2 linked regions of the Canis lupus familiaris genome follow. The protein of the gene in region 1 binds, or shares a complex with, the protein of each later gene. Links are inferred from orthologs where the notes say so. Each region holds a gene or a part of one and is shown on either strand. Other genes may lie near its edges.

What was found.
Region 2: the proteins of LCK (region 1) and CD4 are in contact, whole or in part, in an NMR structure (PDB 1Q68), measured with the Homo sapiens proteins. The link is inferred for Canis lupus familiaris from reciprocal best matches to the Homo sapiens genes LCK and CD4. Residues at the interface, in NP_001036236.1 of Homo sapiens: Glu15, Ile17, Val19, Cys20, Asn22, Cys23, Tyr25, Pro26, Ile27, Val28; in NP_000607.1 of Homo sapiens: Ala429, Arg431, Ile435, Leu438, Leu439, Lys443, Thr444, Cys445, Gln446, Cys447.

Annotation. Positions count from the first base shown.
Region 1 is NC_049223.1:68,332,136-68,347,806, reverse strand, and holds the end of LCK (tyrosine-protein kinase Lck), read left to right. Parts: exon of another isoform or gene 1-116; 5' UTR 117-121; coding exon 122-226; intron 227-491; coding exon 492-573; intron 574-768; coding exon 769-859; intron 860-1,427; coding exon 1,428-1,526; intron 1,527-1,654; coding exon 1,655-1,758; intron 1,759-1,932; coding exon 1,933-2,082; intron 2,083-2,382; coding exon 2,383-2,535; intron 2,536-2,683; coding exon 2,684-2,863; intron 2,864-5,009; coding exon 5,010-5,086; intron 5,087-5,178; coding exon 5,179-5,332; intron 5,333-5,413; coding exon 5,414-5,545; intron 5,546-8,299; coding exon 8,300-8,502; 3' UTR 8,503-8,937; downstream 8,938-15,671. Other genes in the region: HDAC1 (histone deacetylase 1), read left to right, coding at 13,263-13,428. UniProt on the Homo sapiens protein: Non-receptor tyrosine-protein kinase that plays an essential role in the selection and maturation of developing T-cells in the thymus and in the function of mature T-cells. Plays a key role in T-cell antigen receptor (TCR)-linked signal transduction pathways.
Region 2 is NC_049248.1:7,843,341-7,859,011, reverse strand, and holds the start of CD4 (T-cell surface glycoprotein CD4 precursor), read right to left. Parts: upstream 13,991-15,671; 5' UTR 13,896-13,990; intron 7,250-13,895; 5' UTR 7,187-7,249; coding exon 7,138-7,186; intron 7,014-7,137; coding exon 6,849-7,013; intron 1-6,848. UniProt on the Homo sapiens protein: Integral membrane glycoprotein that plays an essential role in the immune response and serves multiple functions in responses against both external and internal offenses.

The sequences.
Region 1 (15,671 bases):
GGGAGGCCTGACAATCTCAGGTACTTCTGGAAATTCCCAGGGCAGGTCTTAGGATGTCTGATGTTGGGGACGTAGATCTTGGGGGAGCCCCTTCAGCCCCCTCTCCATTCACCCAGGGACCATGGGCTGTAGCTGCAGCTCAAACCCTGAAGATGACTGGATGGAAAACATCGATGTATGTGAAAACTGCCATTACCCCATAGTCCCACTGGATGGCAAGGCCACGGTAAGAGGCAAGATGGGGGACTTGGTGAGGGAGATGGGTGGAGTATACCAGCCAGGAGAAAGAAATGGATCATCACTGAAAAAAGAGTGGCCCTCTGACCATAGAAAACAGAAAGGAAAGGAGGACCAGATAGGAGAAGGGACTCTCCAAAGTAGTTGGCAAATGCAGGGATAAGATCCAGGCAAGCTGGAGAAGTGGGAAGGGGAGCTAGGATCTGACTCAGGTCTCTTGTTCTCTGACCCCACTTTTGAACCTCACCCCACAGCTGCCCATGCGGAATGGCTCTGACGTGCGGGATCCACTGGTTATCTATGAAGGCTCCAATCCCCCAGCCTCACCACTGCAAGGTGACCTCACAACCAGAAGGGCCTGAAAGTTAAGGGCCAGGGATAGATCCTTGGCTGTCCACCTCCATCTCCGTATCCACTCTCTATTCCTGTCTTGCCTCTCTTGCCCCCCGTCTCTGCTGCCCTGGAACTCCTAAACTCTGTACTGCCAGCACAGTCCAAGCTAGTTCTCCCTGACATCTCCTGTCTTTCCAGACAACCTGGTTATCGCTCTGCACAGCTATGAGCCCTCTCACGATGGAGACTTGGGTTTCGAGAAGGGTGAACAGCTCCGTATCCTGGAGCGGTGAGTTCCCCCTCCGCACCACCATCCTTGCCCGACGGGAGCAAGGGACCGAGCAGTGATTCCCCAGGACCGCGGTCCCTGGGACGGAGCAGTGATTCCCAGGACCGCGGTCCCTGGGGGGGTGGAGCTGGGATCCCCGGTACCGCGGTCCCTGGGGAAGGGGGAGCCGGGGTCCCCGGTACCGCGGTCCCTGGGGAAGGGGGAGCCGGGATCCCCGGTACCGCGGTCCCTGGGGGGGTGGAGCTGGGATCCCCGGTACCGCGGTCCCTGGGGAAGGGGGAGCCGGGGTCCCCGGTACCGCGGTCCCTGGGGAAGGGGGAGCCGGGATCCCCGGTACCGCGGTCCCTGGGGGGGGGCTGGGATCCCCGGTACCGCGATCTCTGGGAGGGAGCCGGGATCCCCGGTACCGCGGTCCCTGACGGGCTTGCAGAGGGCGCCTTTGGGACAAAATGGGAGGCTCCAGAGTGCTGAGCTGGAGGGTGGGGTGGCATGGCGTAACTGGGGGCTCTGAAGGTTTCCAGCCGAATCCAAGGCCAAGCCGACCCCACTGACTGCCTCTGTCGCACAGGAACGGTGAGTGGTGGAAGGCGCAGTCCTTGACCACGGGCCAGGAAGGCTTCATCCCTTTCAATTTCGTGGCCAAAGCGAACAGCCTGGAGCCCGAACCGTAAGTGGGCACTCCTCGTGGCGAAGGGTGGGAGCAGAGGCGGGGTGCTAGGCTGGCGGTGGATGCTTGAGGGCGATGGAGGAGGAACAGGCCAAACAGACGACGGCCTTCGCTTCTGCCTTGTGCAGCTGGTTCTTCAAGAACCTGAGCCGCAAGGACGCGGAACGGCAGCTCCTGGCGCCCGGGAACACCCACGGCTCCTTCCTGATTCGGGAGAGCGAGAGCACCGCGGGTGAGCGGCGGGGCGGGGCCTCGGGGCGGGGCCTCGGGGCGGGGCCTCGGGGCGGGGCCTCGGGGCGGGGGTGGGGGCCAGGCGGTCCCAGGGAAGGGACGCGGGCCAGGGTCGCCCCTCGCAGGAGGCTGCCTTCCCCCGCTCTTGCATTCGTTCACCCATTCTTTCGTCCAGGATCGTTTTCATTGTCTGTGCGGGACTTCGACCAGAACCAGGGAGAGGTGGTGAAACATTACAAGATCCGTAACCTGGACAAAGGCGGCTTCTACATCTCCCCTCGCATCACCTTCCCTGGCCTGCACGAGCTGGTCCGCCATTACACCAGTGAGCCCCAGCGGGAGCCCCTCACACGTGCCCCTGAGGCTCTTTCACCCGTGCCCTACCAGCCTGCCTTCCCTAAGCCCCTCTCAGGGTACCCTCCACCCATCTCCGTATGCTTCCTCGTTACTCGTTACTCGCAGTGGGTGAGCTGCGGTACCCGATAGCCCGGGTGTCGGGTGACAGGCCCACACACCCCCTACCAGTCCATTTCCCCTGGGGACGGGGACTTGGCCCAGTGGGGACTGATGGGGACACCCGAGTCCACCGTATTGACGGCCCTAACCCCCTCGCTTGTGCTCACAGATTCTTCGGACGGGCTGTGCACGCGGTTGAGTCGCCCCTGCCAGACCCAGAAGCCCCAGAAGCCTTGGTGGGAGGATGAGTGGGAGGTTCCCAGGGAGACGCTGAAGCTGGTGGAGCGGCTAGGGGCCGGCCAGTTCGGGGAGGTGTGGATGGGTGAGTGAGGCCCTCCGGGGCTGCGGGGAAGAGGGGATGGGGACGCGTCCGCTGAGGTCGTGAGGGCCTGACAACGTCCTGGTTCTGGCAGCCACCTGGCTCTGGGTGCTAGGGCTCCGAGTGATTCCCCAATCCCTCCCCTCCTCAGGGTACTACAACGGGCACACAAAGGTGGCAGTGAAGAGCCTGAAGCAGGGCAGCATGTCCCCTGACGCCTTCCTGGCCGAGGCTAATCTCATGAAGCAGCTGCAGCACCAGAGGCTGGTCCGGCTCTATGCGGTGGTCACCCAGGAGCCCATCTACATCATCACGGAATACATGGAGAACGGTGGGTGCCGCCACTGTGATCGACCGCTGGGGGGCGTTGTCATCCCCTCTGCCCCTGGTAGAAGATGGAGGAGATCTACCTTTTCGCCTGGTTTAGCACCAAGAGTTCTAGTTTTCCCGGGCCCCTAAAGACTCACCACCACACCAGGGATGGGAAGAGAGTGTGGTGTCGGAGCCTGTCTGGGAGCCCAGCGTAAGGTGGCAGGCTCTGGAATAGCTTTCACTTCTCATCTTCCCTGACCTGGAGTCTTGTTTGCCTTTTTCAAAGCCCTACCTTGATCTTGGGATGCTTGATTTCAAATGTGGATCTCTTGCCACGTTTCTTTATTCCTTTTGACCCTGACTCTTGGGAGGTCAGATCTGCCTCAAATCTCTCTTTTTCAGTTCTAGGTGGGCTCCTTGCCCTCCCTTGGGCAGATTGAGAGTCCCTAAGAAGATGGATAGAAGTTTCTAGGCCTTGCTTTGTCACTGATTTGCTGTGTGACACAGGCCAAGTCTGTCCCATTACTGGTGCTCGTTTTCCCCAAGTATAACATCAGAAATCTAGAACAGTCTCACCGTTCTAGAAAGAATTCAGAATAATCATTAAGGACTCTAGAATCTGACTGCCTGTGTTAGAATCTTGCCTTCACAATTGTGTGGCCTTGGGCCAATCACTTCACTGCTCTCTGCTATGGTTTCTTCATCTGTGAAATGGTGATAATACTACTGTAGTAACTTTCTCATAGGGCCTTCGTGAGGATGAAAGAGTCAGTGTCTATAGAGCAGTTAAAATAATGTCTTCAATATATTAACTGCTCAGTAAGTTTGTTCTTGTCATCTGGTTCTGATTTTTTGGGGGGTATAAGATCTGTCCCTCTTTCAGAAAGGGAAAAAAGCTCTTAATTGGCTAATGGATTCTGGTAGTAGCAAAAGGTTTTACCATGTGGGCCAACTTCAGTTGGTAGCTGCTTGGAGTTCTGTGTTGAGGATGCTGAGGCTCATTGGAAATGAGTGCTGGGATTGATCAGAAGCATCTGCCATGGCCCCAGTGCAGGAATGGCAGTACATGCCCACATATTGCCTGTGTCTGGGGGACCATTTTATCTTTGGCAACTAATTCAGCACTTGTAGTGGGGATACTTAGGCTAATGCCTTTACATAGGTTTTTTTTTTTTTTTAAGATTTTATTTATTTATTCATGAGAGACACAGAGAGAGAGGCAGAGACAGAAGCAGGCTCCATGCAAGGAGCCCGATGTGCAACTTGATCCTGGGACTCCAGGATCACACCCTGGGCCAAAGGCAGGCAGGCACTAAACCTCTGAGCCACCCAGGCGTCCCTACACAGGGTTCTAACCTCTTGAGAAGGGCTAGCAGTCACTAGCTCCATTCTAGCAACTCCCATTCCTGGTCTTCTCTCCTAGTCATCCTCTGCTACCAGATATGGCCTCCCAGGTCCCCAGGCACCTCTTTCCATACTCCATTCAATACACTCAGCACACATTTATCACTGCTTACTTTGGGCTGGGCACTTTTAGTATGAATGGACAAAACAAGGTTCCAGATTTCAGGAAAAGTTCATTTTAGTTATGTGGCACAAACCCCAGGAAAACCAGAGTCTTTGTACAGGAAAAAATTCCAGCATGCCATGGGGAATGTAGATTATGATGCAGTTTATTAGACCTGGTAACATCTAGAGAAGCTTCATAGAGGAATAATCTAGCTGGGCCATGAAAGAAAGAAAAGTAGAATTTTTAGCAGGCAGAGATGGGACAAAGAAACTTGGGGTGAGAGCCCAGTGGTCTATGTGGAAAAAAAAATCTCAAAATTGTCTAGGGTGGGTTAAGAGGCAGGAGTGGGGGAATGAGAAGAAACTACAATATGGCCTATGCAGGGCTTTGGACACCTGGCTAAGGAGTTTGGGCTCTACCGTATTGGTGACAAGAAGCTTACAGACTTCTCCAAGCATGCTCCATCCTAGTCCCCAGGAAAAGACTTTATATATCCTGGGCATCCTCACCCTAAATGCACCCTTCTCCATTCTCACCCCTTATTATTCTTTCTTCCACTTGTCAGAGAGCTTCTAGATAGCCAGTTAGGGGAGGAGGGTCTGAGAGCTTTCTGCCAAGAGCAGCTTGAGTCAGCAACTTTTGCTTTCACTTGCAGGGAGCCTGGTGGATTTCCTCAAGACCCCCCCAGGCATCAAGCTGACTATCAACAAACTCTTGGACATGGCAGCCCAAGTAAGCAGATTGGGGAGGGGCTGGGCATGCACATAGCCCACTGGGGTGAGGATGTCTGGCCCAGGACTGCTGACCTCTTACCTGGCCTGCAGATTGCAGAGGGCATGGCATTCATTGAAGAGCGGAATTATATCCACCGTGACCTGAGGGCTGCCAATATCCTGGTGTCTGACACCCTGAGCTGCAAGATCGCAGACTTTGGCCTGGCACGCCTCATCGAGGACAACGAGTACACAGCAAGGGAGGGTAGGTGTGGGATATAAGGGAAGTCTGGGGGCTGTAGGGTCTGGCCAAGCAGACCCAGGTGACCTCATTGCCTCCCTGCAGGAGCCAAGTTTCCCATTAAGTGGACAGCACCAGAAGCCATTAACTACGGGACATTCACCATCAAGTCGGACGTGTGGTCTTTTGGGATCCTGCTGACAGAGATTGTCACCCATGGCCGCATCCCTTACCCAGGTCAGGGCCAAGGGCAGGAACTGAAAGAGTGATGGGGAAGAGCAGCAAATCTGTGTCTGTCCACTCACTTCATCTGTCCCTGATTCAGATTCTGAATCTTTCTAGCTGCTTTTCCTGTATTCACGCAGGACTCCAGCATGCCCAGTCAGGTGCTACATTTCCCAGGGCTGGCTTCCATCTCTGTCTCAAATTCCTTCCTCCTTCAATAATCCCAGCTCTTTACTTTTGACATGGGCAGCCTAGGATGGTAGAAGAGGATCTGGCTAGGGAGGCAAAAGGCCTGCCTTTATTACCAGATCTGCCACTGATGCTAACTTTCTGTTTGGGTTTGATCAGATCACTCTTTCTTTCCCCATCTGTAAATTATGAGATTAGAACAGTACCTGGTCCATACAAAGCACTCAAGAGTGTTAGGTTTTATTATTATTATTTTTAAAAGATTTATTTATTTCAGAGAAAGAAAGAGAGCAGGGTTGGAGGGGAGAGGGAGAAGGAGAGAGAATCTCAAGCAGACTCCCCTCTGAGCATGGGGCTCAATCTCGCGACCCTGAGATCATGGCCTGTGCCAAAATCAAGAGTCAGACACTTCACAGACTGAGCCACCCAGGTGCCACTAGGTTTTATTATTAATCATCACTTTGGGCAAGTGACTTTACCTCTCTGAGCCCCAGTTTCCTGATATGAACAAACAAGACTGTGAAAGATCTTGACTTCTAGTGGGTACTCACTAAACACTGACTTGCCTTCCCTCTGAAACTCACCATCTAAAGAATGTGAGAGACATATAAACTAATTCCTACCCTCTCCCATCCCTTCCTCCAGTCTCTGGACAGAGTCCTTTACCCCTGAATTCAGCCCAGATGGATGGAATTTTTTGAAAGGAACTTCTAGGACACTCTAGGGAAAGGAAATAGGACACAAAGACAGAGTAGAGAGGTCATGGAGCAGATTTGTTGAAGCTTCTCACATCACCAGAGCAGTATATATAGAACTTTGCTCCTAGGAAGGTAACGGCACCTTAGCAATAATCACACCTCGGATAAACCTCATTGGCTATGATACTGCCACTGGGCAAAGCTAGGTAAAGTTACTTTAGAACCAGGTGAGAGCCTTAAGGCCTTCTCTGCCTGGGATTGGCCCCACCAGAGTCCAAGGGCAGCACGAGGACTAGAACTTTAGTCAGCCTGCCAAGGGTCATTACTGCTCCTCCACTGTGCCCATAGAGGTAAACCCATAAAGAATCTCTCTGTTAGGAAAAAAAAAAAAAAAAGCATGGAGCACCTAGCTGGTTTAGTCAGTATTATATGCAACTTGTGATCCATTGGTCATAGTTCAAGCCCCACATTGGGCATGGAGCCCACTTAAAATTAATAATAATTTTTAAAAAAGAAAGCATTGAAAGCATGATGATAATTGGCAACTGACACATGGCTTCAGGGTCAGAGAGACAATGGGGAATAATGGGGACCTGGGTGAACTTGCCTCTATTCAGAAGATGGTTGCTACTTAAAAAAAAAAAAAAAAAAAACGATGGTTGCTACTAAGATATAGATAGGAACCCCCAAAATAGATATTTTCTTTTTTAAGAGAAGCCAAAACTTGGAATTTTAGGAAAATTTGCCTATATCCAAATATTGATGATTGATTCAAATTATTTAAAAACATTGAAGAGGGGGGCATTTGGGTGGCTCAGTTGATTAAGTGTCCAACTCTTGATCTCAGCTCAGGTCTTGATCTTGGGTCTTGAGTTCAAGCCCTGCATTGGGCTCCATGCTGGGTATGGAGCCTACTTAGAATAAATAGATAGATGATAGATAGATAACACTATAGGGGTCAAACCAAAGTATGTCTATGGGCTATATTTAGTTTGGGTGCAGACTATGACTTTGCACCCTTGGCTCTAGCCATGGGCATTTAGTTCCCTTGTCTGTGTCCTCTAATATCCTGATTTTAAGGGATATCCTGAAATTATTTAATCTGGGTCATGAAGGTGCCTGGTGAATCTACCTTATGCAGGGTCTGCTCTGCTGAGGTCCAGGACCCATCTGGCTTCTTGATGCAGCATCTCATGTGCCTGGTCCCCAAACCCAAGAAGCTTCACCACTGTGCTGTCTGTGGCTCCCATACTGCCCTGAGCCCTGACCACCTCATCTTTCCCACCAAATCATAATAATCACAGATATTTTTCATGAAGCATCTCCTCTCCAGGCACTATACTTGGTGCCATATATGTAGTGTCTCATTCAATTTTCATAACAGCTGTATAAGGTTGGAGATACTGTTTAATCCATTTTCCAGATGAGAAAACTGAGGCTCAAAGAGGAGACATGGCTTACCCAAGGTCTCACAGTGAACATATAGGTGTTATTGAGTGCTTGAGCCATAGCAGACACTCCAGTGGCATGACTGACATTTGGCAGGTACCTGAAGTATATGGTCTTACTTTTTTTTTTAACATTTTATTTATTTATTCATGAAAGACACAGAGAGAGGCAGAGACATAGGCAGAGGGAGAAGCAGGCTCCCTGCGAGGAGCCCAATGTGGGACTCAATCCTAGGACTCCAGGATCACGACCTGAGCTTAACCACTAAGCCACCCAGGTGCCCTAGTATATGGTCTTACTACTGATGAAGACCAAGATCCTTTTGGATTGGTGCTCACATGGTACCAGTTAAATATTCTGAGCATCACCTCTGCTGTGGGTTTCCAAAGCCTGGACCCTTGATACTGTTTCTGAACCCATCAACCTCTAGGGATGACCAATCCTGAGGTGATTCAGAACCTGGAACGAGGCTACCGCATGGTGCGACCTGACAACTGTCCAGAGGAGCTATACCAACTCATGATGCTGTGTTGGAAGGAGCGCCCAGAGGATCGGCCAACCTTTGACTACCTGCGTAGTGTGCTGGAGGACTTCTTCACAGCCACAGAGGGCCAGTACCAGCCCCAGCCCTGAGAGACTTAGGGGCCTGGACTCTTCCCTCCATCTAGCAAACCTGGCTGGGGGAGAATCAGTTCTTGTGTCATACCCATGTAGCCTATGCACATCTGGACTCTGTGTGTGAATTCCACCCACGGTGGCACGTACACTTCTTGTGTCTTATACAGGGGTTCTATAGTTGTATGGGCTCTGCATGTGTCCTATAGATGTGTGGCATGTGTATATATGTCTTGGACACCTGTTCAAGTTGTCCCCTTATGGGCCCTTCTACTTCCTAAGACCACCAGAGAGAAGAGAGACACCTGTGATTGACACCAGCTTCTGTCTGCCCCCTTTTCCCTTTCCATCAAGAAGTTCCTTGAGGCTGGGGCCTTATTTGATACCTCTGTGTGCTCCTCCTTGGTGCCTGGCACACATTAGGAGCTCAATAAATGACTCTTTTGATGAGGACTGTATATCTCTCAGTTCTCCACTCCCATCTCCTCTTCCTTGGGAGGGGGGAGTAGGGGTTCAGAAGACGGAAAATAAGTCACTCTGAATTGGGGTGAAAGATGGGATGAGGGGGGATGTCTGAGCTTTTTCCAGTTCTGTTGATTTGGGGTTCCAAAAGGAAACTCCTACAGTTTGCTGAATGGGTTCTTTGTCTTTTTTTTTTTTTTTTTACTTATGATAGTCACACAGAGAGAGAGAGAGGCAGAGACACAGGCAGAGAGAGAAACAGGCTCCATGCACCGGGAGCCCGACGTGGGATTCGATCCTGGGTCTCCAGGATCGCGCCCTGGGCCAAAGGCAGGCGCCAAACCGCTGCGCCACCCAGGGATCCCCTGAATGGGTTCTTTGAACTCCTTCATACCCCTACCCCAAAGGCTTAAGGGTGACCTTTTCAGAACCTCCTAAGGAATTGGTGTGTCCCAGGATCCTCCCTTCTCATTATGTAAGGGCAATAGCATTTTTTACAGCTACTGATTCTGGGGCTATATTTGTACTCAGGTATGTTTTGATTCAGCTTCAAGATGTTTTTAAATATTTTAAAGTAATTTCTACTCCCAGTGTGGGGCTCAAACCCACAATCCTGAGATCAAGAGTCACATACTCTACTGACTGAGAGAGCCAGGTGCCCCTAAGATGTGTAGTTGGTTTTGTTTTGTTTTGTTTTGTTTTGAGAGCAGGAGGAGAGAGAGAACAAGCAGAGGGAGGGACAGAGGGAGAGGGAGAAACAGACTCCCCACTCAGCAGGGAGCCTGATGCTGGTCTCATTCCCAAGACTCTGAGATCATGACCTGAGCCATAGGCAGATGCTTAACCAACTGACCGCCCCCCCACAAGATGTTTTTAAACATTGAATTAATCCATTCTTTGGCAAATACTTATTTGTGATATATTTATTTATTTGAGAGAGAGAGAGGGCAAGTGCAGGGGAAGGGAGAAGGAGAGGTCATCTCAAGCAGACTCCATGCTGAGTGCAGAGCCTGACATGAGGCTTCATGCCAGGACCTCCCTGAGGTCACAAACTGGGCCAAAACCAAAAGTCAGACGCTTAACCAACTGTGCCACCCAGGCATGCCTTGGCAAATATTTATTGAACATCTACCATGTGTTAGGGATGGTTCTGGGTTCATAAAATATATAATAGATTAAAAAAAAATCTCTGTCCTTATGGAGCTTACATACAGTAGGACAGACAATAAATGTAGTTAGGGAATACAGACAATAAATGTTACAAAGAAGTAAATGATACAGTACACAACAAGGTGCTGAGTGCTAAGGGGAAAATAAAGCAGGGTAAGGGGAATTAGGAATGTCGTATTTGGGGGAGGTTTGCAATTTTAAGCAGGGTGGTCTGGGAAGGTCTTATTGAGAAGGTGACTTAAGCAAATATTTGAAGGAGATGAAGGAGCAAGCCACGTGGTATGGGGGAGGAGAGGCCAGGCTGAGGGAACCGCCTGAGGCAGAGCTCCTTTGGCAAGCACAGAGACATAGGTCTTGACGGGGGGCCTGAGGGGTAGAGATCCTGTGGTGCCTTGTGGCCTTTGCAGAAACCATTTCAAGAAGACTTTGTGGAGATTTTTGCAGAGCCATGACAAGACCCGACTTACTTTTCTTAAGCCTTTTTTTTTTTTTTTTTTTTTTTGAAAGAAGAAGAGAGCATGTGCTGGCACAGGAGTGGGGCAGGGGTGGAGGGGGAGGGAGAGAGAATCTTAAGGCTCCCCGCCCAACGCAGCCCAACGCAGACGCCGACACAGGGCTCTATCTCACAACCCTGAGATCATGACCTGATCCGAAATCGAGTCAGAAGCTTAACGGACTGAGCCATCCAGGCACCCTATGACCTGACTTACATTTTATTTTATTTACTTATTTACTCATGAGAGACGGAGAGAGAGAGACAGAGAGGCAGAGACACAAGCAGAGGGAGAAGCAGGCTCCCGACGGGGGACTGGATTCCAGGTCTCCAGGATCACACCCCAGGCTGCAGGCGGCGCTAAACCGCTGCGCCATGGGGGCTGCCCCCTTGACTTACATTTTAAAAGAATACCTCTTATTACTGTCTTGAATGTGAACAGAGTGAGTTAGCAGTCAATTTATAAAACTGGGGAGATTTAAAAAAAAAAACTGGGGAGATTTTGGATAAAACTACAGGTTTCTGTCTTCTCTTGGAAAAAAAGTCTTGAAGATTTGGCTTCATTGGGCTTACCTGTCCTCATGGAGCTGATTAGTGGCCACCACCTTCACGTAGGGCTTAAGCTCTTCCTTTGCCAGGGTCTTCTTTTGCTAGAGTCCCTTTGCCAAACAGTTGAAACTGAGTGTCAGTGGTTATCATCATGCTTGCACTGTTGTTCTCATAATGAAGAGGAAAATGAAATGTTTTTCACCTCTATTTCCAATAAAAAGTGAGAAAATGAAAGGTACCTGCAGATGGCAGTGTGTTTGAGGAAAGATGGGGGAAAGGCATTTTGCTTTATGAAAGTGAAAAGAATCCAATTTTAGAAATATGCAAAGCACCTGAATCAAACTAATATAAATCCACTTATTTTTATACCACCTGCCTCACCTCTATAAAGATCTGAGGTTCTGATTCCTGTTCTGCATTTTATAAAATGCTGCCACACCCATGACCTCATCTGATCCCCACCCTCCTCTTCTTTTGGATACTGTGTGCAGCATAGAGTTAGTGAACTTTGAATTCTTATCCTCTGCATTTTACAAAGAGGGAAGTGAGGGCCAGAAAGGTTCTAGCCAGGAAGCAGCAACACAGAGCTGGAAAAAGGGATTCCCTGGCTCTTTAGCTGTTTTCTTTCTTTCTCTCTCTCTCTCTCTCCCTCTCTCTTCCTTTAGCTGTTTCTATAAATCTTAAATTTTCTGTTACTTTTATTTTTTTAAGATTTTATTTATTTATCCATGAGAGACATGCAGAGAGAGGCAGAGACATAGGCAGAGGGAAAAGCAGGCTCCCTGCACAGAGCCGGATGCAGGACTTGATTCCAGGACCTGGGGATCACGACCTGAGCCAAAGGCAGATGCTCAACCACTGAGCCACCCAGGCGCCCCTCTTCTATTACTTTTATAATGAGTGGCCCAAATGCAGTTCTCAAATGAGGAACACAAGTGTCTAAGTGCCCAAGCACTCTTTAAATTGTACAGGCATAGGGTTACCTGGGTGACTCAGTTGGTTAAACATCCAACACTTGATCTCAGTTCAGGTCTTCATCTCAGGATCATGAGTTCAAGCCTCCAGATGGGTTCCACTCAGGGTGTGGAGCCTAATTAATAAATAAATAAATTGTAGAGGCATAAAAATGTATCTTATCAACTATAGGACCATGAGTTTGTAACTTACTTGGCACACAAATAGTAAGTACTCACTAAATATTAATACTGTTGTATTTTATTATTTTAATAGCCCATCACAGTGCTTTTCAGTTTTTCAGATTTCAATAATGAACAGTTGATGATTGATAAATAAGTTCAGTGGTCCTCAAAGTTAGGGTGGGGGCAATTTTACACTCCTGTCTTGCCATGGAAACAGTTATGCAATGTCTGGAAACAATTTTGGTGACCACAGCTGAGGGTGGGAGTGGAGGGTGCTATTGGCATCTAATGAGTAAAGGCCAAAGATGCTGCTAAACATCCTACACAATGCACAAGAGAGCCCCTTACAGTAAGGAATTATCCAGTTCCAAATGTCAATAGCTTCAATAGGTTCAGAAACCCTGCCCTAGTAGAAGGGGACAATCAGTGTCCTCCTATGTAAAGGCACTCTTCAGTGCTCGCGGGTGACAGCATCAGGGAGGCCCCGCTTTGGAGGTAAGAAAGGCTGGGTTCGGCCCCTTCCCTACAGTGTCTCCGGTGCACAGCAGGAATTCAGAAAATCTGTACTAGTGAAAGGTGAATTTAATTCCTAATTGTGTGGCTCTGAGCAAGTCACAAAGGTCTGAAGTTCATTATCCTTATCCATAAAACGGGAATAAAAAGCCTCTTCCAAAGCTTTTGTGAGCAATCGTTGAGATAAACGTCGGTAAAGGGGTTGCACAGCACTTGGTCCACAGCAGCTTTCTTTCCTTTGTCAAGTTGATTTCTCCTTCTTCCAAACTCAGGCTCCAAGCCAGGTTCAGCCCGGTCCTTAGCTGAGTGACCTTGTGCAAGTCACTTTCCTCCCCGCAGGCTTCAGTTGATTCTCCATAAAACGACAAAGCTGGCTTCTGGTCTCCCAGCGCACTTCCAACACCGAAACCGGACAGCGAAGTGTACGGATCCGTTTTCTTCCCCCGGGACTAATGGTACGGTCCCCGGGCAGCTCCCCCACCCCCCTGTCGCAGACCTTGGTACAGGCCCAGGGGGCCCTCGGCTGCCTCTCAGGGCTGCCCTTGCCCCCTGCCGAGTTCCGGGCCGTCCCTGCGCGAGCTGATTGGCTGGAGCCGTGCCCGGGCTGCGCGGCTATAGGTGAGCCCGGGAGGGGACGGGCGGAGCGGGCGGGAGGCCCGCCCCCTCCCCCCCTGGGTCGGACGCCGAGCGGAGCCGCGGGCGGGAGGCCGGACGGACCGACTGACGGGAGGGACGGGAGGCGAGCAAGATGGCGCAGACTCAGGGCACCAGGAGGAAAGTCTGTTACTACTACGACGGTGAGCACCGTGCGCGCGGCGGGGGCGGGGCCGGGCCGGGGCCGGGCCGGGGCCGGGAGAGGGAGGCTGAGGAGATGCGAGTGGGGAGGCTGGGAGAGGCTGAGGCGTTGGGGAAAGGCTGAAAAGAGGAGGCTGCGAGGAGGACGAGGCTGAGAGAGGAGGCTCAGAGGGAAGAGGCTGAGAGGAAAGAGGTCGAGGCTGAGGGAGGAGGCTCAGGAAAGAGGGCAGGGGGAGGGAGGAGGCAGGGGGAGGAGGCTGAGAGCAGGAGGTGGAGGCTGAGGGAGGAGGCTCAGAGGAAAGGAAAGGAAGTCGAGGCTGAGGGAAGAGGCTGAGGCCGAGCGGGGGTCTTCTGAGGAAGCCTGCGGTAACTTGGCCGGAGAGGGGTGGTTCTCAGGAAGCCTGATGGAGAGAGTTTGAGTGGGACCCCAGGAGAGGAGGCTGAGTCTGAGGGCGAGGCAGGATCTGGTGGAGAAGGGTGCAAGGATGTGTTTTCCTGCCGAGAACACAGAAGTCTTCCTCTACCCTTTTGCTTCCTCATCCTTTTTGGTGAGAGTCCTGCAAGAGTCCCCACCTCCTGTCACCAGCCTCCCCCCTCCCCCTCCGTCTCTCAGCTGGGCCTACACTTTGCTGCTGGAAATGGGGCCCCTGGGCTTGGAAGGAGAAAGATACAACCTGTTAAGACAGACTTTTTCATGTAACAGAAGCCTGTGGAATGGCTTACTCTGTACTAGGGACATTTAGGCGCTGAGGCCGTGGGGCTGATCAGGTCACTTCTCATCTTCCTCTCAGCCTGGATGGGAAGATAGATGGACAGTGACACAGAATTGCCTTCCAGGATCATGCTGGGATAAAGGAGAGCTCAGAGTGTTTGGGGAGCACGGAGGAGAGGCACCCAACTGAGACTGCCCACTTGGGGCAGGAGATGCCATCTCAGTTAGGACCTGAAGAACAGGAGTTAGTAGCCGAACCCAGGGAAGGCAAAGAGGACCGTAAATTTAGAAGAGAGAGGACAGCATTTTTGAAAGACGGCAGGTGTGTGTACAGTATAGGTTTGAGGGCAGAGTGTAGAAGGTCAGGGAATAGGGTGGAGGGAAAAGATGAAAGTCATGAGGCTGGAGAAGTAATCAGAGACTAGATCCTGAAGGGCTGGACACACTGGCTTACGGAAGTTGGACTTTATTCTGAGTGCACTTGTGAATCATTGAAGTTTTGTGCAAGGTTAGTGACATCATCAGATTTATACCTTAGAGCTATCACTCTGAGAAAGAAATTAAGTTTATGAATGTAGGGGTAAGGAAAAAGGTAAGGATCCCAAACTCCTGGGTTGGGCAGTTTAATGTGTTTGGAGAAGGCTATATCAGTTGATAACTTTGGGTTTTGTATTTCTACTCTTAAAAATACTTACTGAGGGATACCCCTACTGGGGGATATCCGCTTAGAGGTATCCAGTAGGCAATTGGCTATTCAGGTCTGCAGTTTATTTTTTTTTTAAAGATTTTATTTATTTATTCATGAGAGATAGAGAGAGAGGCAGACATAGGCAGAGGGAGATGCAGGCCCCCTACAGGGAGGCTGATGTGGGACTCGATCCCAGGACTCTGGAGATCAGGGCCTGAACTGAAGGCAGACGCTCAACCACTGAGCCACCCAGGCATCCCAGGTCTGCAGTTTAGAAGATAGAAATGAGAAGGTAGAGATTTTTGGTAGTTATCAGCATACAGATGGTAATTTTAGTTACAGAAGAGGATGTGATCATGGGGATCCCTGGGTGGCTCAGCGGTTTGGCACCTGCCTTCAGCCCAGGGTGTGGTGATCCTGGAGACCCGGCATTGAGTCCCACATCAGGCTCCCTGCATAGAGCCTGCTTCTCCCTTTGCCTGTCTCTGCCTCTCTCTGTGTGGGTCTCTCATGAATAAATAAATAAATCTTAAAAAAAAAAAAAAAGAGGATGTGATCACCCAAGAAGTTTTTTTTTTTTTTTTTTTTTAAGATTTTACTTATTTATTCATGAGAGACACAGACATAGGCAGAGGTAGAAGCAGGCTCCCTGCGCGCAGTCTGATG
Region 2 (15,671 bases), on another chromosome or scaffold:
TTTATTTATTCACGAGAGACACACAGAGAGAGGCAGAGACACAGGCAGAGGGAGAAGCAGGCTCCCCCCAGGGAGCCCGAACTGGGACTCCAGGATCAGGCCCTGGACTGAAGGCGGCGCTAAACCGCTGAGCCACCTGGGCTGCCCTATTACCAAGACTTTGACTAGAATGTTTTATTTAAGAGAGATGGGCATAGACCCAGATATGACTAGACAGCTTTGAAGATATAAGGTTAAAAAAAAGAAAGAAGGAAGGAAAGAAAGAAAGAGAAAGAAGAAAGAAAGAAAGAAAGAAAGAAAGAAAGAAAGGAAGGAAGGAAGGAAGGAAGGAAGGAAGGAAGGAAGGAAGGAAGGAAGGAAGGAAGAAAGAAAAAGAAAGAAAGAAAGAAAGAAAGAAAGAAGAAAGAAAGAAAGAAAGAAAGAAAGAAAGAAAGAAAGAAAGAAAGAAAGAAAGAAAGAAAGGTCGACTTCATGGAGCCAATAAAGCCCCTTGGAAAAATTGGCCTGGTACCTTATTCATAAGGTTTCAGCAAAGCAGTCTTTTTTTTTTTCTTTAAAGATTTTATTTATTTATTCATGAGAGACAGAGAGAGAGAGAGAGAGAGGCAGAGACACAGGCAGAGCAGAAGCAGGCTCCCTACAGGGAGCCCAATGTGGGACTTCCCAGGATCAAGCCCTGAGCCAAAGGCAGACGCTCAACCACTGAGCCACCCAGGCATCCCTCCAGCAAAGTAGTAAAAAAAAAAAAAAGTTTATATGGTCAATTACTATTCTTGCTGCACTTATGTAAATAACCAGACCAAGTTTAATGCAAGCAAATTTGTTTTATTGTGATTATCTTTGATAAAAATGGGGATAATTGTAGAGACAAACATTATGTTTGCATCTTTGTCCATGTTAGATTCTAACCCTGTTAGCAGTCTTTGAGTTGTTCTTATATACCTGTATACCAGACTGGGTCCTGAATTCTCCTACTTTCCTCAAATATCTGGCTACAACTCCAAATGAACATTTCTGATTTTCTTTCCTCCTTTTGATCTGGAATCACTAAGAATAAAAACTGCCTTTGAATCTCCTTGGATGGAACTAAACCAGGTCCTCCTTGCTACCTGAATGGCAGCCAAACTCCAGGGACGTGAGCCTTGGGTACATGCCTTACAGCTGAAGAAGTCTCCACCTGCCATCTGGCCCTGTGCACCTCAAAACCTTTAAGCTGGAGACCTCAGAATCAAATTGTCTAAGAAGGGGATCCCTGGGTGGCGCAGCGGTTTGGCGCCTGCCTTTGGCCCAGGGCGCGATCCTGGAGACCTGGGATCGAATCCCACATCAGGCTCCCGGTGCATGGAGCCTGCTTCTCCCTCTGCCTGTGTCTCTGCCTCTCTCTCTCTCTGTGACTATCATAAATAAATAAAAATTTAAAAAAAAAAGATTTAAAAAAAAAAAAAAACAAATTGTCTAAGAAGAGATGTAGCTGACAGTAGATAAATTGCTTCCACCAAAGAAGCTGGATCAAGGCTTCATACTTAAACTGAACATGAAGCTCTTTCTTTTCTCTTTCTTTCCTTCACTCTGGTATTGGCTTGGAAAGATAACACCCTCATCTGTATCTCCCAGGTCGTTACTAAGGGTGGGGTGCAGGGGGTGGGGGTGGGGGTGAAGGTTAACCCTTCAGACTGCTAGATTTGTCACCAAGAAATTTGATCTGTCCATGATGCTAGAGACTTCCCCCTGGTCCATTTCCCTGCCTCTGGTTTACAATCCCAAACCTAGGAAAGGGACACAAGACAAGGGTAATCAGAATAAAACCACCTGTATGGTCTACAGACCCTTACATTTTACTGGTCTCCCTGACTGTCACCTTTCCAGTCCTGAACCACAGACTCAAGCAGGAATTACCAGGAGGCATTCATGATTCAAAATTACCTTGGTAGCTCAGGGCTCCCCTGGCTACTATTAAATGCAAATGAGGCTACAATCAAGAACTTATCCTTAACTCTAGAAAGTATTGCAGATGGGGGCAGCCCAGGTGGCTCAGCAGTTTAGTGCCGCCTTCGGCGCAGGGCGTGGTCCTGGAGACGTGGGAGGGATGAGTCCCGAGTCCACGTGGGGCTCCCTGCATGGAATCTGCTTCTCCCCTCTGCCTGCGTCTCTGCCTCTCTCTCTCTCTCATGAATAAATTTTTTTAAAATCTTAAAAAAAAAAAAAAAAAAGTATTGCAGAACCCACTGCTAAAATAAAAAGTGCCTGGCAAAAATCCTTAGATTCTGGCCAAAGTTATTCCTGATGATAAGACAGACTTTAAATCTCTTTTAGCTGAGCAAGGAGGTGTCTGTGTTGTGGCCAACACCACCTGCTGGGCCTGGATTAACACCTCTGGGGAAGTTGAAACTCCATTACATAAGGCCACTGAACAAGCCTCTTGGTTTGAAAAGTGACTCTTTTAGTGGTGCCTTTCTTTTTAACTTACTTGATTTTTATTGTTTTGGGTTTTAGGGATCATGATTCCAAAGTGCACTCCAAACATTGGGAATTACCCTGCTTATAATGATCACAGTAGTCTATCTGGTGCACTGTATCTTCTCAAAGGCTTTATTTATTTATTTATTTATTTATTTATTTATTTATTTATTTATTTATTTAATTTATTTGAGAGAGAGAGAGAGGGCACAAGCAGGGGGAGGGGCAGAGGAAGAGGGAGAAGCAGACTCCCAGCTAAGAGGTGTGCCCAACCCGACCTGGGGTTCAATCCCAGGACCCCAGGATCATGACCTGAGCTGAAGGCAGATGCCTTCACAGGTGACACTGAGCCACAGGTGGCCCCCTCTCAAAGGCTTTAAATGCATGTTTGCACTTGCTAACCACCAAGCAAATGATCTCCCTAAACCTGGAACATCAGAAAAGGAACAAAAAGACAACCAACTTAAAATTTGTAAGCCTGAAGTTATAACCTGTGAATGTCACAAAGATTGGGGGCGGGGGCGGGGGGTGAGAGGAGTCACAACCTGTGAGTACCAAAGAATCAACAGAAACTTCAAGAATGTTAGAGTAGTAGCTGGGAGTGGCACTAATGCCACTCTATTTTGCTGAAAGATGTAATCAAAAGAGGGGAACTGTTAAAAGAAAGAGCCAACAGGACCAAAATGGAATCAGTTATGCTAACCCCCACATCAGCAAACCAAGACTTAATATCTAACCTAATTGCAGTTTCAGCTTTTCCCAGGAACATAACCTTTAATGAGTTAATCTCGAATTACCTGGTCAGCACTAGTGAGGAAATCTGCCTGACAGACCCCTTCCGTCCCCTTAAGCAGGTGACCTTGCCTGAAACAATGCATTCTTTGCTAATAAACTTCCTTTTCTGCCTTTACAAATCTTTCCTCTCCCCAGCTCTTCGGAGCTCTTTTCTATTTGCTAGACCGGATGCTGCCCAATTTATGAATCACTGAATAAAGCCTATTAGGCCTTCAAATTTACTCAGCTGAACTTTGTTTTTAACCCACTGGGTATCATTTTTATGGTTTTAAATGTTTACCGTGTACCGGTATAATTTTTTTTCAAATCATTTTAACTTTAAAATGAATAAGCTAAAAGTCTACTTATTTAGCAAGCAATTTAGCAGAATGAAATTCTAAGACAAGAAAATCACTTGCAGAGTTTGTGAGAGTGTTTTGAGCTCTATCCAGGGGTGAAAATTACATAATGGGTACCAGGGGCCCACAGGCCAGGGGAGGACCCAGGTTACTTTGATCATAGGGTCCTCTTTATTTTATTTATTTTTAAGATTTTATTTATTTATTCATGAGAGACACATGGAGAGAGGCAGAGACATAGATAGAGGGAGAAGCAGGCTCCCTGTGGGGAACGGGGATGCGAGACTCTATCCCAGGACCCCAGGATCACAACCCAAACCACAGGCAGACAGATGCTCAACCACTAAGCCACCCAGAGGCCCCCATAGGGTCTTCTTTAAATAGCTGTTTGAAGGACAAGACACGGGCAGGCAAAGAGCAGTTAACCTGGTGATTTCTGCTTTGTGTGTCTTTACCAGAAAGAGACCAGGGATTGGGGGTTTTGTAAATTTTAGGGAATGGCTTTGGTTCAGCCCACGGGACACCTGGGTGGCTCAGTGGTTGAGCATCTCCCTTTGGCTCAGGGTATGATTCTGGAGTCCCGGGATCAAGTCCTACATCAGGCTTCCTGCATGGAGCCTGCTTCTCCATCTGTCTATGTCTCTACCTCTCTCTGTGTGTGTCTCTCATGAATAAATAAATAAAATATATTTTAATTAAAAAAAAAAAAGATCCAGCCCAATATTCCCCTTTTTCTTCATGTCCAAACATGAAGAATGGACATGGGTGGGTGTCTGAATTGTAACTCTGGAGGCCCAGCAAGAACCACCTTGCCAAAAACAGAGGACTTTTCTCCCACTGGACAGAGGCAGGAAGAGGAGACATCCATTTTTAACAAAGATAATTTTCTTTTCTTTTCATTCCTTTTCTTTTCTTTTCTTTTTCTTTTTCTTTTTATTTTTTCTTTTCTTTTTTTTTTTTTTTTTTTAACAAAGATGGTTTTCAATACACTGTGGCCAGTTCAGGTTTTTCTGCCCTGAGGATGACTTTCCATGGGAGAGCCTAGGCCTGAAAGTTGAAAGACCAAAGCTCTAGCCCCAGCTCTGCCTCCAATCTAGCACAAACTGAGGCCAGGGACTTCTCCCTGGTAAAATCAAAGTCTTGTACTAGAGCCATATTTCCCAGACTTCAACCGTTCACACATCTTATACATGATTTTGGCCAAATTTACCTATCTTATTAATCTAACATCTTTAAATGCATTCACTTTTTTAGATTAAATAAATCTATCTTAAAAGGAAAGTTGAGGTGGCTCAGTTGGTTAAACATCCTACTCGTTTTTTTTTTAATAAAGATTTTATTTATTTTTTCATTAGAGACACACAGAGAGAGGAAGAGACACGGGCAGAAGAGGAAGCAGACTCCCTGTGGGGAGCCAGATGCCAGACTAGATCCCAGGATCATGGGTTCACGACCTGAGCCAAATACAGACATTCAACCACTGAACCACCCAGGCATCCCAAGGATCCTACTCTTGACTTCACCTCAATTCATGATCTTGGAGTTATGAGATCAAGCCCCACATTGAGCTTTCACACTGAGTGTGGAGCCTACTTAAGATTCTCTCTCTCTCCCTTTCCCTCTGCCCCTCCCATCCCTGTCTCATGCTCTCTCTCTAAAAAATAAAAACAAATAAATAAAAAGAAAGTTTACATCACTATAATAAACAGAAAGTCCATATCATCTGACATAAACAAAAGGCAATTATAAAAAACTAAGAGGGCAGCCCAGGTGGCTCAGCAGTTTAGCGCCACCTTCAGCCCAGGGTGTGATCCTGGAGTACCAGAATTGAGTCCCACATCAGGCTCCCTGCATGGAGCCTTCTCCTCTGCCTGTGTCTCTGTCTCTGTCTCTGTCTCTCTCTCTCTCTCTCTCTCCCCCCTCTCTGTGTCTCTTGTGAATAAATAAATAAAATCTTTAGAAAAAAACTAAGAAACTAAAAATAGTGTTTTATAATTACCACTTAAATTTAACACTTGAACCCAGCAATTAATCTTAATAGCACAAAAAGAATGATAGACATCACATAGCTCCTGATGTGATGAAATTGGTAGTACAAACCACCACTTATGAGGTATTCCTATCAAAAATATTAAATGAAAACTAAATCAAGTCTCTAGTTTAACCACCAATCCATAGGAGGTTCAAAGGACAGAGGAACATGCTAAATAATACCATGGAAATGCAGCCAGCTCCTACTCAAATGTACAAAACTTCACAGGACAATTGCCTGGTTTCTTCAACCAATCAGTGGTAAGGGGAAAAAAGTCTGGGGAGTAAATATAGACATTCAAAGGGACTTAAGGGACATATCAACCAAATACCATGCATAAATTTTTATGCGGATCCTGTTCAAATAAACAAAATGTAAAAATAATATTAGAGGTAGTTGGGAAAATTTGAACACTGGCTGGATATTAATCATCATTAAGGGATTATATTTCATTTTTAATGGATGATAATGATACTGTGGATATGTTTCTTTTTTTTTTTTAAGATTTTATTTATTTATTCATAAGAGACACACAGACAGGCAGAGACACAGGCAGAGGGGGAAGCAGGCTCCTTGTGGGGAGCCTGACGCAAAACTGGTCCCAAGATCCGGAATCATGACCTGAGCCAAAGGCAGATGCTCAACCACGGAGCCACCCAGATGCCCCAAGTTCAATTTCTTTAGTAGAAAGAGCTATTCAAAAATTTTCTGTTTCTTCTTGTGTCAGTTGGTAAATTGTAAATTGTGATTTTCAAGGAATTTTTCCATTTTATATAAATTGTTAAATTTATTAGCTTGCAGATATAATATTTGCATATTATCCTTTTAATGTCTTTATAGTAATATAAAGAAGATATTTTATAGAAATATCTTCATTCTTGATACTCATATTTTGTCTTCTCTCTGTTTCTTGGTAAGTAAAAATGTATCAACATGGGTCTGTCGCAATAATATTCATGAAATCACAGGTTTTATGATAGTTATTTTTCTAATATCTATTAAACTAAGGCCATGAATATTAAAATTCTGAAATTATAATAGACACCAAATGCCATTTCCCAGGCCACCTGCAGTTAGCACAGGGAAACTCTGGACTAGGAGAATGCACCTGAGTTTGTCAACCAGAGCCCTCTGGGATCTCAGAGTTTACCAAGAGCAGAGCTCTGACACCAGGGATGCTCAGTCCATGGTGGTTTCCTCCCTGCATGGGAGCTGGGCCGCCCTACCTACAGTCCAGAAGGAGCCCTGATTTCCCAGAATCTGGACCATGGAAGAATCTCTCCAGTTGAAGTGTATGTTCTTCTTCTGGGAAGTTTGGCAGGGCAGCTCCACTGCATCTCCTGCCTTCCCCAACACCACTTCTCTTACAGGAGTGACCGCTGGGAGCATCACTAGGTAGAAAAGAAGGAAATCAGGCCTCAAGGCTGTTGCTGCTCTGCCTCCACCCCATCTCCCCACCCTGGCATTTACCAGGCAGCCCCTCCTCCCATTGGATCTCCAAATCTGCGCACTCACCCAATTGCAGCATCAGGAGCAGGTGCCTAAAAGCCGCTTCTTGATTCATTGTGGATTCCCTGAGACAGGCAGGGACCTGGGCCTTCCCCCCACACCGCACAAAGTGCAGGGCCTAAGGGAGATACTGATCATTAGTTAGTAGGCATTTACTGAGCCTGGGGTGCAAAGGGACATATGGGGATGGTATGCAATCTCACCCATACAGCCAAGCCAGGGACCTAAATGTGCATACTTCTAAGCAGACATCCACCAGGACACACCACACAATGCTGTGCCCAGGCCATCTAAGTGGAATCAGAAAAGGATTCACAGGGATGCCTGGGTGGCTCAGGGGTTGAGTGTCTGCCTTCGGCTTAGGTGGTGATCCCGGGGTCTGGGATTCAGTCCTGCATCAGGAAGCCTGCTTCTCCCTCTGCCTATGTCTCTGCTTGTGTCATGAATAAATAAAGTAAATTAAATTAAATTTAAAAAATGATTCACAGAGAAGGTGGCAAATTGGTGGAGACTGAGAAGGGGCAGGGGGATGGGGCGTGGCCAGGTCATGAAGGTCCTTGAATGCCATGCTATGATACCGAGCTGTGACCCTAGGCACTACGGAGCCACTCAAGGACTTTATGTCGAGAAGTACATGATTTGATTTGCAGAATGGACCCCTTCAGCTGTTGTGTGAAAGACAAGCTAGAAGAGGCCGAGCGCGCAGGAGGTATGATTGAAATGATCCTGGTGAGAGAAGATAGGCCTGAGCTCAGACAACTCAGAATGATGGAAGTGTAGAAAAACAGACTGCCTTGAGGGCAGGTTTGAGGCAGATTCCCAGGACTTGGGGAGGGCCACACTGTGTGGGGTGAGGAAGAGACGGAGCAGTGGGTAAACTCCCTGCTTGCTCTCAGACGAACCCTGTAAAGCCTCTGAGGGAGAGCAGAAAAACGCTATTTCAGAGTTGGTTTCTGTGAGTTCCGGAGGTGGTTGAGGCTGGGGGGGTGGAGAGAATTTAGAAAAGCTCTGAATGGACCTAGCACAATGGGAGGTTAGAGCAGTGATCCTCCAAGTGTGGTCCTGGATCAGCAGCAGCCTAGGTGTCACCTGTCAACTTGTTGGAAGTGCAAATTCTCAGGCCCTACCCCAGATCTGCTGAATCAGAATCTGGGGGTGGGTCAAGCCTGCTGTGTATTCACAACCCCACCCCCCACCCTGGTGGCTGTCACCAGCTCCAGTTTGCAAACCATGAGTTACAGGGAAAGGAAAGGGGAGGAGCACCCCACCGCTCTGCTGCCCCGCGTCAGAAAGAGTGGCAGGTGGCAGGGCTGTGCCCCGGCTGGGAGTCTGGAGAAGACTCAGGGAGGGAGCTGGTGGGATCTGGGAAGACATCTCAGGCCTGACTGAGAACCTGGACAGGTTGGCCAGAAGGTCAGGGCTTTGTTCTTCAGGCAACTAGGAGAAACTGCTTTTTTTTTTTTTTTTTTTTAAGATTTTATTTATTTAGTCATGAGAGACACGGAAAGAGAGGCAGAGATATCAGTAGAGGATATCTGCTATCCCCATTGAACAGGGAGCCCGATGCAGGACTCGATCCCAGGACCCCGGGATCACGAACTGAGCCAAAGGCAGACACTCAACCACTGAGCCACCCAGGTGCCCCAAAACAGCTGCTTTTTGAGCAGAAATGTGACATGGTCTGTGTAAAGTTTTAGGAAGGGGACCAGATGACACGGAAGAAGTGGAGACTTGAGGAAGGCCACCAGATAATGTCTGGAAGGCAGGCAGGAACAGGGCTCGGATCTCTGAGCTCCAGGCCTCCAGGCCCAGACTGTAAGGAGGCCTCAGAGGGGTGGTTGCCTGGATGGGGGTGGGGAGCAGCATGAACGCCTCTAGAGCTTGGCAAGATGAGGTCCTGCATCCAACCTCGTTTTTCTATCCCCTAGCCTAGTCTTTGTTGTCTGAGCTCTGCAGCTACCTGCCCACTCCTACAGCACCCTGTTGATGCCCTGAGGGCACAACCCACCTTCTGTCTCATGATGTGGTGATTTGGGTTCCCTCCCATCTTCACCCCGGCCCTGAAGCCTGATCTCATTCAGAATGAAGATGATGGTCCAGCCAGTTCTGCCACCAGTGTAGGCCTGGCACCAGCTGGAGCATAGAGAGGGGATTTGGAATGTTTGGTTAAGTTAAACGAAATTGAATTGAATGAAGGAGGAAAAATCACTGATTTCTTTCTGTACTCAACATATTAATTTTGTTACTAGGGATCCCTGGGTGGCGCAGCGGTTTGGCGCCTGCCTTTGGCCCAGGGCGCGATCCTGGAGATCCGGGATCGAATCCCACATCAGGCTCCTGGTGCATGGAGCCTGCTTCTCCCTCTGCCTGTGTCTCTGCCTCTCTCTCTCTCTCTGTGACTATCATAAATAAATAGAAGAAAAAAAAATAATAATAATTCTGTTACTAAAGTGGGTCATTGAGGGACACCTGGGTGGCTAAGTGGTTGAGTGTCTGCCTTCTGTTCAGGGCGTGATCCCAGGGTCCTGGGATAGAGTCCTGCATCAGGCTCCCTACAGGGAGCCTACTTCTCCCTCTGCCTGTCTCTCATGAATAAATAAATAAAATTGTTTAAAAAATAATAAAGTGGGTCATTGAAGTATGTGTACACAGCCAACCCTGGCCTGAATGAAGCCAAGTCATCCCCATCCATGCTGCTTGTTCTTGTGCCCTCTCATCACCACCACCTCTCCCCCACCGCCCCATCCCTGGGCCATTCTCCTACCTCTCTGCCCTGCTCTCTATAAGGAGATTGATTTGGACAGACTTTACCACCCAGGCTCCCTTGCCCTCCTGCTACTAGTTGGGGTTGGCCAGTGGGAAGAACCCACAAGAGGTGGGAGGGGCAGGGAAAGAAGTGGGAGCATTTTTCCTAACTCTCTTCCTAGTCTGGCATGCTTTCTGGCAATAGCTATACTCCTTCCCTCACCCCTTCTTCTCTCCACACCCTGACTGTAGCTCCTTTCAGGTGGCTCAGCTCAAACCCTCACTGGGTTCCGGAAACATCATTCCACCCTTGCCCCTTCAGGACCCTGCCTGCTATTGGTAACATCTGTGTGCCTCCATGAACTGTCTGGTTCCCTCTTCACACCCCTGGGAATAACCTCGTTTCTGCAGTCTCTTGAACCATCCGAGGCAGATTCTGTTTCCTGTTGGGTATTGATCCATGATAGGGCTGTCGTACTCAGATGGGTGCTGGGGACATGCACCTCCTAATGAGATTTGCCGGAAGATTTAAAACAAGACAAAAAAGCCAACTCCACTCACTCCATCTGCCTGAAGGAAGAATGTCCCAGGGCCTAACTCAAGGCAGAGGCTTGACGGAATTTTTTGTTGTTGTTTATTTATTTTTTGAGTAATCTCTACACCCAACATGGGGCTTGAACTCATGACCCTGAGATCACCAGTTGCATGATCTTCCGACTGAGTCAGTCAGGTGCCCCTGATAGAATTGTTTTCTAAACAAGGGAAATAAGAAGTGAAGAAATCATGAGGACTCCGGAAGAGGAGGAAAGAGGCTAGTCATGGGTGCAGTTGTTTACCAGTTAGCATGGGGCGTGGGGAGGGGAGAGACTACGGTACAGCCACCCTTCCATCTGAGAGTGGCTTCCGCTGTCCCCCTATCACAACTCACTGTGTTCTTAGTGAGCAGAGAGTAAAGGAGTCTCCATTTGGAATATCCCTTCCCTGGTGTCCAAATTCTGCATGAATGCCTGGAGAAGGCTAGGAACATTCTTGACCCTTCCCCAAATGGTGGTCATTTCCTTCTTCTTCACGCCATGATCCTGTGGTCTGTGCCAGAGGGCTACTTCCCCACCTCCAGCTCCTTGTACTGCTCCAACTTACCCAGGGTTCAGCTAGGTGGAGGAGGCTATGGGTTTCCATCTGCTGCTTGCTTTGATGACTTGGGCTTCCGCTGCCGCCCCAGAGAGCAGGCTTTTGATTCCCACATCCTCATCCTCCCCAGAGGCACTGTGCCCCAGTACAATAGCATCCTGTACACCATAGCCCCTTGAGAGGGGCTGGGAGGGCTTGCTGGTCCCCCAGGTCCTGGCATCACTCTCTCTCTCTCTCTCTTTCTCTCTCTCTTCTTATTTCTCTGCTCACATCTGGGCATTTCTGTATCCTGTCTTCAACTCCCCACATCTGTAGCTCTCTTCCTCTTGGTCCCACATGCCAGGACCCAATTCTGGCTCTGTCAATCTTGCCTAGAGTGCCCCTGGCCTCTCCCTCTTTTTCATCTCCACCTCCAGCTGCCACTAAGCTCTAGCCCCTTCTTGCCAGTAAATAGGCATCCAGGCTTCTGGCAGGAATGCCAGCTTTCAACAAGCTTTGATGTGAAGGGAGCCTGCAGAGCACAGCCTGGAGCCGAAGGTGGGTGCAAGGGAGATGTCCGCAGGGTGGACCAAGGGAAAAGGACATATTCCAAGAAACACACAGAGGCCCCAAAGGAGGATGAGGAAGGATGGGCCGGAGAGACCCAGAGCAGCTCATTAAAGCCACAGCTACACTTCACACGAGCCCTGACCCCACGCCAAGCCCAGGATAGTACAAACCGGATAGTCAGAGAGAAAGAGGTGAAGACATTCTGAGAGGCAAGACACAGCCCCAGAGCAAGAGACCACAAGAGAGCTCAAAAGAGAATGAGAGAACTATGAGAGCAAAATGGCAACACACTGGCAAACTCTCAGAGCTTTTGAAATTCCTGTTGCCCTGGCCCTGGCCTCCCAGGTGGGATGAGGAGCGAGACTGGGGAGAGGAAGAGGGCACAGCCCCACCACAGAAACAGTCTGTGGTCCCATAGACACTTTCATCTTCTCCCCAGAGCCCCCAGGCAGCCCCTCAAGCCTCGCCACGGGATGTGCCCCCCCACCACCACATACACCCTCTCTACTGCTCATTGGCTTCATTTAAACTTCCTAGAGACCATGACCCTCTAAGGGACCCTTGTGGTTCAGTGGCTACAACCTCCGCCATCCTCTCCTTTGCCTCAGACGCCCACGTGGGTGGGGGAGCCATGCCCTCCTTCCTTCCCCTAGGTCCCCCAAAAGGTGTGGAACAGAGCTCAACCGAAGAGCCCTCCAAACTCAGGCCCCCATCTGTCCCCTTCCATTGCCCACCCTCCTCAAATTTATTTTATTTAACATTTACTGAGTGTCCAAAATGTGCAAGGCCCTTGGTCTGCTGAACTCCCCATGTCACCATTATGGCCAGGATCAAGGCCTAAGATGCTACAAGTCTTCTGCCTAGAACCAGTTGATGAGGGGGAATTCTTATTTCAAGGTAGAACTCTTTTGTATACGTGTCCCCTAACTGAAAGACCAAAATCTTATTGGGTGTTCTCTCTGACCCTGACCTCTGGGAAGTCCTCCATCTGAGGTTAAGATGGCGGCCATTTTGTGTGAGCCCACAGACTCTAACACAGCCCAAGAAATTATTTGTCAAAATATGAAACGGAGTCACCTCCCTCATCAGGTTCTACTCTTAGCCTTATGCCCCTAAAATTTTGTCCAACAACGGGACTTTCAGGAAGAGCTATTCCACCCAAAGGGAAATGTTTGAATTAGCAATAATGGGGCCTTTCTATTTTGAAGAATCCACCGGTACCAAAAAGGTCCTTCTCCCAGAATATGTCTAGAAGGGAAGGCAGAGGACACCTGTGGGGTAGCACAGCAAAGCCACGGAGGTCTTAGGAAAGGGGAAAGGACAAAAAGCCTGGAGGTGGGAAGTTAGAGTTGTACAGGGTGTCCCATCTTGAGGGGTACCACCTCCTGGATCCCCTACATCCCACCAAGCCCAAGACGGGCCTGCAAATCCTTTTCTAAACCACCTAGCCTCCTTTTCTAGAACAGCTGAGACATCTAAAACTAATGCCTTAGAACCCCTTTTTCTAATGACATATTTACCTAAAGAATATGTATCTATCACTTGTATAGTATTGCATACCTAAGAGCTCAGTTTCAACCCTTTTTGAGAATTGCGTTAATCATTTTAAAGCTCATTAAAACAGGAGGGCCCTTAGACATATTATTCAAAAATCACAAAAAATGCCCAAGAGTAAAAAAAAAAAAAATGTAGAAATACGTGTTAACAGAAAAGATAGTTAAAGGAGGCTACCTCAACCATAGGGCTTTTGAAATACTGCAAACAAGTATGATTTCTGGTATAAATTTCTGGCAATTGCATCACTGGGAAAATTGATTTGAGGAGAATTGCTTCTAGACTAGATTTCACTTCTTTCTCATTTTATTGCTTTTCCTTTGTTTCCCTTTTTCATTTTTTTATAGGCATCCTTTCTCCTTAATGTGTATTTATTCTTTCTATTCATTTCCTACCCTTTCTTCCGTCTTTTCTCCTTCTTTCCCCTCTTCCTATCTTCATATCGTCCACTGCCCCTTGACTAGTTGCCTCCCATGGCCTTTCTCAGCCCAAGATGGCCTAAAGTCTCTGTGCCTTCTCTGATCTTGTAATCCAGCTCAACACCTCTCTGAGGAGCACCGTCTGCTCCAAGCACTAAAGGGATATGCACAGGGGGATGCAGAGAGAAATTTTCCATAATCCCCAGCCTCTTGAAACTCACAGATCCAGTGTGAAATACAAGACAAGGTGGCCAGAATTGTGGGCAGAAAACTGGGAGTCCAGAACATTTCACCACATCTGCTGCCGCATTCTCCTCCCCTTCCCAGACCCATGGAAAGGAATGAAGCTGAGTCTGTCCGTCTTACCTCTGGGCCTGTGTCTTTCCTCCCCTCTGCTTCTCACGCAGGTGTGTCTATGTGAAGGCTAGGAGCGCACGGGGAAGAACGCTTGTTACTTCTGCAGAGATGTATGTAAACGAAGAGACAGGAAGCCTGGCAGCAAGGCTCCTCCACACCCCAGGCCTGGGCCAGCCCCCAGTGTCACCATCTGGGGCTGGGGTGCCCACCCCCTGCCTCTTGGGGAAGATGTCAAAGTGAAAATGCCAAAGTCAAAGGAAAAAGTTGAGCAGAACCAGGCTGGAGAATAGAGTGTCACAGCATTTCTTGTTGTGTAACAAGAAAAAAGATGGCCTCAATGATACTTGCAAGCTGGTCTGGATTTCAGTGGAAGAAGTAGAAAGGAAGTAGAGGGCACATGAGGACACTCGTGGTAAGCCCCAAACATCCCCTTGCTCCAGAGTCCTGAGGGCATTTGTTCAGCAAGGAGGCACCGAAGAAGGCATTCCAGCTGGCCCCGTGTGGCAGAGAGGGTCTGGGCAGTTACCTGAGACCTGAGGACTGACCCCCAGAGTGACCATGGACCAGACCCTTTTCCTCTGGACCTTCCTGTCTGGCCAGGCCTCAAGTGTTTCTCCAGCCCATGTCTCTCTTGAGCTCCAGATGTGTAGATCCATCTGCTCATCAGACATCTCCTTTTGGATTCTCACCACACGTAGCAAACCCAACATGCCCCAAACTACACGTATCATCTACTTACCACTACCCTCCAGACCTACTTCTACAAGTCCCCCACTTAGCGAAGGCTTTGGCACCTCCCAGCTGCTCATGCCAAATAAACTGGGTGTAATCTCTGACTCCTTCACCCAACTCCTTGCATGTGTTTATTCGCCATTTCCTGTGGATGTTACCTTCAAACTCTCTTAGATGTCTATCCGAGTCACTCTGCCCAACTACCACTGTTCCATCCATTCTAACCCCAAATGCCATCCCCATCCTGTGCCTGGGCGACAGCCCCTGCCTCCTCACTGGTCTCCTGGCCTCCCCATTCTGTTGTCCTCTAGGCCATCCTGCACCAGCAGCCCAAGTGCTCATTTAAATGTGCCCATGTGACCATAACCTTTCCCTGCTATGAAAAAAGTGGCTAGTTGAGCTTGCAATGCCCAACAATTAATGCAGGTGTTTCTATTTGAGACAACATTGTGATTCATTTGCAGCAGAAAGGCAGTCATGCTACTTCTCATTTTATAGCACAGTGTACTCAAGGTTTGAGATTTAATAACATTAATATTTACTGCTTCATCAAAGGCATTCTTAAGTGAAAGTGGCATTAATATTTTTATTCTTTTTTTTACTGCAAGTGCCTGGCAGTTGAAGAACAAAATGACTACAGCACAGTTTGGCTCTGCTGCCTTGATTTATGCTAAGGCAGCAGTCTAACCCAGATTGCTTTTGCAACATCATTGCAATGTCAACATAGTGACAAAAGCCAATAATGTCTTATTATTTTTATGCAAGTAGCTTGACCTCAAGATCTCCCTGAAAGGGTCTCAGGAACCACCTCACACACACACACACACACACACACACACACACACACACACACTGCGGGTCACACTGTTAGAGCCACTGATCTAGGACATTTTTGTTCATTCTTCAGATCTTCTCTATTTCTCTGCACAAACTTTTGGTTGTCCCCCAAATGTTGTCTCTTTCTTTCTTTATAATAGAACCCTACCTTTTTAGCTGAGCTCATGGCTGCCCAGATTTAATGTATACTGAATCCCAGTCTCCCTTACAACTGGA